Saccharomyces cerevisiae S288C: one gene and its partners. Changing the gene in region 2 together with the main gene of any one other region gives a genetic interaction. Each region holds a gene or a part of one and is shown on either strand. Other genes may lie near its edges. The genes, in order: ECM15, YLR285C-A and AIM26.

What was found.
Region 1: mutations in YLR285C-A (region 2) and ECM15 together harm fitness more than expected from each alone (negative genetic interaction), as found in Saccharomyces cerevisiae (one large-scale study listed by BioGRID).
Region 3: mutations in YLR285C-A (region 2) and AIM26 together harm fitness more than expected from each alone (negative genetic interaction), as found in Saccharomyces cerevisiae (one large-scale study listed by BioGRID).

What each region holds. Positions count from the first base shown.
Region 1 is NC_001134.8:236,636-239,321, forward strand, and holds ECM15 (Ecm15p), read right to left. Parts: upstream 833-2,686; coding exon 518-832; downstream 1-517. Other genes in the region: HTB2 (histone H2B), read left to right, coding at 1-252; alpha,alpha-trehalase NTH2, read right to left, coding at 2,306-2,686.
Region 2 is NC_001144.5:707,616-709,984, forward strand, and holds YLR285C-A (uncharacterized protein), read right to left. Parts: upstream 724-2,369; coding exon 553-723; downstream 1-552. Other genes in the region: NNT1 (S-adenosylmethionine-dependent methyltransferase), read left to right, coding at 1-530; CTS1 (chitinase), read right to left, coding at 833-2,369.
Region 3 is NC_001143.9:367,198-370,221, reverse strand, and holds AIM26 (Aim26p), read right to left. Parts: upstream 858-3,024; coding exon 501-857; downstream 1-500. Other genes in the region: UGP1 (UTP glucose-1-phosphate uridylyltransferase), read right to left, coding at 1-331; RGT1 (Rgt1p), read right to left, coding at 1,105-3,024. UniProt on the Saccharomyces cerevisiae protein: Involved in selective mitochondria autophagy (mitophagy).

The DNA of each region.
Region 1 (2,686 bases), on a different chromosome or scaffold from region 2:
TTGAAGCAAACTCACCCAGACACTGGTATTTCCCAGAAGTCTATGTCTATTTTGAACTCTTTCGTTAACGATATCTTTGAAAGAATTGCTACTGAAGCTTCTAAATTGGCCGCTTATAACAAGAAATCCACTATTTCTGCTAGAGAAATCCAAACAGCCGTTAGATTGATCTTACCTGGTGAATTGGCTAAACATGCCGTCTCCGAAGGTACTAGGGCTGTTACCAAATACTCCTCCTCTACTCAAGCCTAAGTCACTCACTAGGTATTGTGATTTAGTCATGTTTTCTTTTTATTAGTGGCATTTTTTATATATTGTAACATTAGGGTTCTGTTACTTGTCCAGATATGATTGGAAGGGTCTAGTCTATCAGCCTCCGAAGGGAGTTGTATAAATGTATATATATAACTTTATAAACAAAAAAAATTGGGAAAGATATTTTGCAAACAGTTATTATTAAATTGTTTCTTAAACTCTCCTTAAAGATATACCCTATTTAGGTTCACTACACGAGCATTCATTGAGAAATTTTTTTTAAAACAACATCGATCTTATCTTGAGCAGTTTGGTGCTTATCAGTTCTAGTCCCAACACGAATATCAGTGTGTACTCTAACATATCCTTTCTCATGACCGTATTCATGGATTTCGCCAATCAAACCCATCACATCATCCCAAGGCCCTTCAATTGTTGTTCCTGCACTGTGTAAAGTGCTCTTTAATGGGCTTTCTCTGATTTTTTTTTCAATGAGTGCAACAAAATCAGAAATACTAGCAGAGTCGGTGCCAATAGGGACCATACACACGTCCGCTAAACAAAAGATCTTGGGCATTTTCTAAACTTGTAGTTTATGTGCTTTATAGTTAATGATCACGACGGCAATGACAAAAACTGAATATCTTGATCTCTCCTTTTGACGATGTCAGTGAATCCCGGTTAATGATATTCTGTTTTTCACGGGGTGGAAAAGAGGGGAGCTTGAATCATACTAAAAAAGGAATGTCAAAGAGCTATATAATTCGAATAAAAAGTAAAAGAAACGAAAGGTTTTATTAAAGGGTTTGGAGCTGTTTTCGGACTGAAAGCCAGTAACAAGCTTGTGTAGGAGTTTGTCTGAAAACCATCTTCATTTCAAATAAGAGAGCGAGTAATTTTTAAATAATTTCTTTTCTGAACTACTTAAATCGCTATGTACCTTGCGAAAATTATTCTTTAATAGTTTAACTAAAAGTAAAAAGTTAGAAATCATAAATAAAAAATCAAAGAGACAAATCTCGTTGCAAAAGCTTGAAAAATAGTGCTTTACCAACAGGTTGGCAAACCAGAATGCTAACAAAACTTAAAATCCCATTTCCCAAGAGGATCAATCAATCATATTTACCTTGATAGTATAGGATACAAGTGTCTGTGCAGGCCTCCGATAACATGTAAAGTAATAAAAGTAGGAGTACTTGCTTTCAGCAGAAAATGAAAAAAAGAACGTTCAAACAGACTGAAAATATAGCTATTCAACTGGCACCTACTAATATCAATAATAATAAATTAATCTTGAGCAAATTGATCCTACATAAATCATGTGACTTATTTATTTAATTATTATTAAGTAAAAAAGATTTTCTATTTAAATTTATTAATTAATTTTTTTTCTTAAATAATTATTTTATGTTTTTGTTTTCCGAAAAAGAAAAATATTTCAACAAGAAGTATCAATATATTTCTTGCAAAAAATTGTTCACCGAGAATTGACAAAAAAACCTTACGTCGGTGACGACGATATACAGATCCTATATTCTTCATGTATGTAATAGATTCCCATACCTTCTTCGCATTTAAGACACTAATAGAAATGAAAGCTTTCTATTAGTCATTCTTCCTATGCACTAGACCACGCAAAGGTGAACCGGCTTGGTACGAGAATTCTATCACACGGTAATGATAGTGTTCCCGATGTCAAGCAGTCTTATACAGTACTACCCAAGAGCTTAAGAATAAGCAAGAAGATCTGGCAAGCTACAAGGTACTCATAACGATCTTCAAAGCGTAAGTTATGATCTTATGAAAATCAGACTTTTTTGTCTCAACAAACTCCTAGTTTGAAGATGTTACTGAAATGCCCTTCAAACACTTTTACTTGAAAATCATCGATTACTATTCTAACCTTCACAAATGAGCCTTTACACAACTTGATTAATAATAATATTTGACCTTACTCTAAATCGTCTCAAATATTACTGAGGCACAATCTCATGGTTATTGATAGAAAGAAGAATATAACATATATCTTATTTACATATGTTCGTCAATATTATAGGTAATACAATTTTTTCTCAGAGGGTTTCAAACTATTGAAAAATGGCAATGGTGGACTACAAGCAGCGAGAGCCCTTCTTGCATGATTATTCATATATTTCAATCCGAGCAAATAACTTGTGTTCACCCAACCAAAGCCTTCTGTAGCGACGCCCTTAAAATCAGCACCTTGATTACCATATTCCGCATCAACGCGATGCGGATCAGTCCCTCTTGTCACATCATATTTTTCTACCACCATTCCGTTATAATCAACAAATGATTTTGTAATCATGTACAGCCACCTATAAGCCAATCTTGTAGCTACTTGTTGATAACCATATGCAGATAAACCTTTCCAGGCTAATATTTGGTGCGGCGCCCAACCAAAAGGATA
Region 2 (2,369 bases):
TTTTAGAATTGGGTGCTGCTGCTGCTTTACCTTCCGTTATTTGTGCTTTGAATGGGGCTCAAATGGTTGTTTCAACTGATTATCCAGATCCTGATTTAATGCAGAACATCGATTATAATATAAAGTCTAACGTTCCTGAAGATTTTAATAATGTCAGTACGGAGGGTTATATTTGGGGAAACGATTATTCTCCATTGTTGGCACATATCGAAAAAATAGGTAACAATAATGGAAAGTTTGACTTAATCATTTTAAGTGATTTAGTCTTCAATCATACGGAACATCACAAATTACTTCAAACAACAAAGGATTTATTAGCTGAGAAAGGTCAGGCGTTGGTAGTATTTTCACCGCATAGACCAAAATTGTTGGAGAAGGATTTAGAATTCTTCGAATTGGCTAAGAACGAGTTCCATTTGGTTCCTCAGCTAATTGAAATGGTTAATTGGAAACCGATGTTTGACGAAGACGAGGAAACAATCGAAGTCAGATCTCGTGTTTATGCGTACTATTTAACACATGAAAAGTAGTAAGTGGGCGGAATTGGCATTCTCAACAATCATTTTTATGTTTGTAAACCAGTGTCCTTTGATATGTAACAATTAAATAAAATAAGTCATGATGGGGCACGAATTCGCAAAATGGTAGAAACACAGTAAATCGAAGAAAATTAAATAATTCGTTATAGATATAAAGTAGTCGATTATAAAAACGTAAAAACATGAAGGCAGGGTACCTTGACGAAATAAAAGAGAGGCGGTGAGATGAGGTGAAAAATAAAGAATATTGCAAAAAAAAATATTCGGACTCTATGAATCAATCTCTAATAACTTTAAAAGTAATTGCTTTCCAAATAAGAGAAATTACATTGGGTATAGACTGAGTCGCCGGAGTCATAAGCATAACATGTGGTTCCAGAAGCACATTCCATGTAAACCCAAGCGCTATGATCACAAACGGCGAACTTCCCATCAGCAGAGCATGCAATTTCACCTTCAGTACAGGTAGATTTACCGTTCAATTTACCAGCCGCATATTGAGCATTCAATTCTTTAGCCAATGTACGAGCTGTACTGTCTGAGCTTGTACTACCTGAGCTTGTACTACCTGAGCTTGTACTGGTCGTTGTTGGGGAAAGCGTACTAGTAGTAGCTGTCTGTAGGGAAACGACAGAAGAACTCTTCGTTGCTGGCGAAAGAGTACTAGTGATAGCTGTTTGAATTGGGGCCGAAGAAACTATGCTAGTAGTAGTTGTTTGAGGGGTCACCAAGGCAGCACTGGTTATTTGGGAAGATAGAGTAGTTTTCATACTTGTGATAGCAACTGAATTTAAAGTGCTCTCTGTTGTGGTGGTACCTAGACTAGATTTTGTCTTGGTGCTACTCGTCAATGTTTTTGTAGTTTGAGTAATTGATGTTTTGATAGCGCTGCTTGCAGTTGGAGATAAAGTAACTTTGCTTTTACTTTGTGTAGATGTCGTAGATTGTGTGGTCTTTTTCTGAGAAGTTGAAGCAGATGAAGTTGAAGCAGATGAAGTTGAGGCTGCTGAGGTTTTTGAGGTGGCAACTGTAGTAGTGGCGGTCTGGCTAGCACTTGTTAGCAAATTCTTCAAAATCTCAACATATGGTTCACCATTTAGCTCGTTGGAAAAGGCTTGAGATGCATCCCATAACGCAATACCACCAAAAGAACTTGAAGAGGCAATATCTGCAATAGTTGATTCCAATAAAGAAGTGTCAGAAATATAACCAGAGCCAGCAGCAGAAGCAGAACCAGGTAAACCTAAGAACAGTTTGATATTTTTATTTGGGGATACAGTTTGAGCATAGGTTAACCAAGTATCCCAATTGAATTGACCACTCACACTGCAGTAATTATTGTAAAATTGGATGAACGCAAAATCAATGTCTGCATTTTCCAACAAGTCACCAACAGAAGCATCCGGGTATGGACATTGTGGTGCGGCAGAAAGGTAATATTGCTTTGTACCTTCGGCAAACAAAGTTCTTAACTTGGTAGCTAACGCACTATAGCCTACTTCGTTGTTGTTTTCAATATCAAAATCAAAACCATCAACGACTGCTGAGTCAAATGGTCTCTCACTGGCACCTGTACCTTCACCGAAAGTATCCCATAAAGTTTGTGCAAAAGTTTCCGCTTGAGAATCATCTGAAAAGAGGTAGCTACCAGATGCACCACCTAATGATAATAGAACTTTCTTTCCTAGGGACTGGCAAGTTTCAATATCTTCAGCAATCTGGGTGCAGTGAAGTAAGCCATCAGAAAAAGTATCAGAGCATGCGTTGGCAAAGTTCAAACCAAGGGTTGGAAATTGGTTCAAGAAAGATAATAGGAAAATATCAGCATCA
Region 3 (3,024 bases), on a different chromosome or scaffold from region 2:
CGTTCAACTTCAAAACAGCCAATTTGGAAAGGTTTGAGACATTCTCGGGCTGCTGAGAAATAATTTCATACTTAACCACTTCATCCGGGTTGGGAGACTTGATCTTGTCCCATTCCAAGGTGGTTCTAGAAGACTTCTCTACCAAATATCTCCTGAAAAGCGTGAAAAACGAATCCAGTTCGTTCTCAAACTTAGCGCGAGCAGCATCGTCAAGTTTACTAGAGTCCGCCAACTTGTTTAAGGCGTTTCTCATTTGTGAGGCAGCAACGCTGTTTGTGTTGCTCTCGAATGCATAAGTGGAATGTGTTTTGGTGTGCTTCTTAGTGGACATTATTATGTTATGGTACACTTGCTGTGGAAGTTATATTATATAATCGGAAGAGGACTAGGCCTTTTAACGTTGCTGATGTGGAAAGAACCAGAAATTGAATCTCCAACTCCTAAAACCGTAACTTCAATCTCATGGTACCTGCTGGAAGAACTTTGTTGTTTGTTTAGATTTATATACTCAATCCAAAACAGGGAAAGGAAATGCAAAAACGGGCCGAGCCCAAACAAAAGAGGAAGCGCGTCAGGCTGTTCGAGAAGGGGCGGGGGAAGGGGATCAGGTTACAAGACGCTGTACAGGGATCTGTGTGAGAACAAACCGACACCAGAACTTTGGACTTTGCAAGCGCCGGAATTGAATCTGTAGCAATGGCAATGGCAATAGTGATGGCACCAGGTGTAACAGCAAGCCGGCGGTAGCAACGTGCGTAATAAGGACTTCTGCCCCTGAAAAAGTATGCCAAAAGTAGGAGAAAGAAAGACCCCTTTAGCTGTGAAAGAAGAAGGTGCTCCCCGCCCATTGTCTGCATGCGCCCCTGAGCTTGGCGACTCTCGAATACCGTGGAAGATGGTGGAGCACCAGAGTAAAAGGCCGTGCGCACTCTGACAAGGCAGTATTGTTACAGGTTAAAACAGCTAGTGTGTATATGTGTAAGTAAGTATTATTTATGTGTTTTACTTAAATTGGTCATTCATTGCATGGTAGTTCTTTACGCGAATTTCTGCCTGAGGAGAAGGGAGAACCTGACCTACAGGAGAAGGGAGCATAGTTACCTGTCAATACCAGCCTAACTCGGAATCGTCCAACAGCTTCCAGCCGATACTAACGAAATTTTCCAGGGCAACGTTCTCAAGCCTGGGTTCCTCTGCGGCTACTGGCGCCGTTGTCGGTTGTGTACCAGAAGTACGGCGTTCATCAAGCAATGTCTTCATGACTGATGACTCGCGGAGGCCTTGGCCCGACTTTGGCCACATGACGTCGTTTCTGGTCGTGGACGAAAGTCCTCCTGTCAGGGACATTATGGGCTTATTAAGCTCGTGCTCGAAGATCTTGAATGGCTTGATCATTGTCAGCACGCTGGTGATTTGAACTACTTCATTCATCGAGTTTGACAGCTTCATGACCAGGTCCTGCGACTTCTTGGTGTCCTGAGTATTCTGCGTTGTAGTTGCCGTCATCATAATGCTAATGAGTGATGTAGGCATCTGCTTGACCAGTTCAGTGATGTTGTAGACCTCGTGCAGGATAGCAATAGCAAAGGGGGAAATTATCCCCCGGCAAAGGTCTGAAAGGATAGTGCCAGTGTCTTGTTTCAGGCCTAGTAATTTCTTGTAAAAATCTGGATTCCCCTCCGATGGAGGTGCAGCGCTAAGGTTCCCAGCGACTGGAGACGAGCCCATAGCAGATGGGCCCTCTTGCACTGTCGGATTATTAGCGGGTGGGTTCGGTGGTCTATAATTAAAATCAATACTGTTCGTAGGATTCAGTCTTAATATCAACGTCAATACTTGCAAAATTATTGATATCAATGAGCACAGAGAGTCTGCTATTTTCGAACTCAAATCCAATGTCAAATCTGAATAGACTCCTGCTTCTGAATCGTATAATGATAATAAGCAATTGATGAAATTGTGTTTGCCAATTAATAGCTTGCAAAATAACTGTGCTACGGATAGAGGTTGAGTTTCCACATATTCCGATAAGAGTGAAGACGAGTTCGTAATATCGAACCCAGGCTTCCTATTGCCGTTCATTGATATTCTATTCCTGGTAAGCTCACTCATCAATTCACCCAATTTCAAGCTTTGCAAGACGCTTTTCAGTCTCAATTGGCTTTGTTCCAGGCACCATTTTGAGCCCAAATCATTAGAAAAAAATCTTTCTGTAGAACCTTGGATGGAAATGTTTAATAGCTTGGGACCACCGAATGCACAGCTTTGTAAAGAATCAAACACTGAAAGCAAAACGTATAATCTTTTAAACAACACTGAATAGTGACTAATGTTTTCGTCCATGGAATTTGGTGAATTGGATGGATTCATATGCCCAGCACTTTCAGATCCAATTTCAAATTCGGACGTTTTTGTATTCCCATTACCAGTGCTGACCTCTTCATCAACTGGAGGCTTCACATCATTTATATCCGGCTCCGGAAATAATAGAAGTTTGTATAATTTAAATTCGTTAAAAATTGTCACCGACATTCCAAGTACAAATGAGTTATCGTATCCAACAAATGCCAAAATGTAATTTAAAAGAATAAAAGTAGATAAATAAATGACTTTGATCTTCGGCGAAATTTGGTCGTTGTTTTCTCTGAATTTGGGATGAATATCCACGATTTTTTGGAAACATTCATTGAGGGCGGCAATAAAAACGCTTTGCACTTCCAAAGTATCCTGTACTTCATTATGTGAATCACGTCTTGTTTTTTCAGCATCATCCCTTGCCGTGGCTGTAGTGAACCCAGCTTTGTTGTTGTCATTACTTGGCGACAAAGCCACGCCAACAATATTATCGAAAAACTTGCCACCTGGCTTTTGTTTCAGAGCAACACGAACTAACAATTCCAATGAATTTCTAAACCACAAAATAACATATGAATTGACTTCGTGTATATTGGAAATTGGCTGTGTGTTAACTAACAATAAGTCACTGGTCAAGGTCGTTTTGTTTAAAGGTATGATCGGAAATCC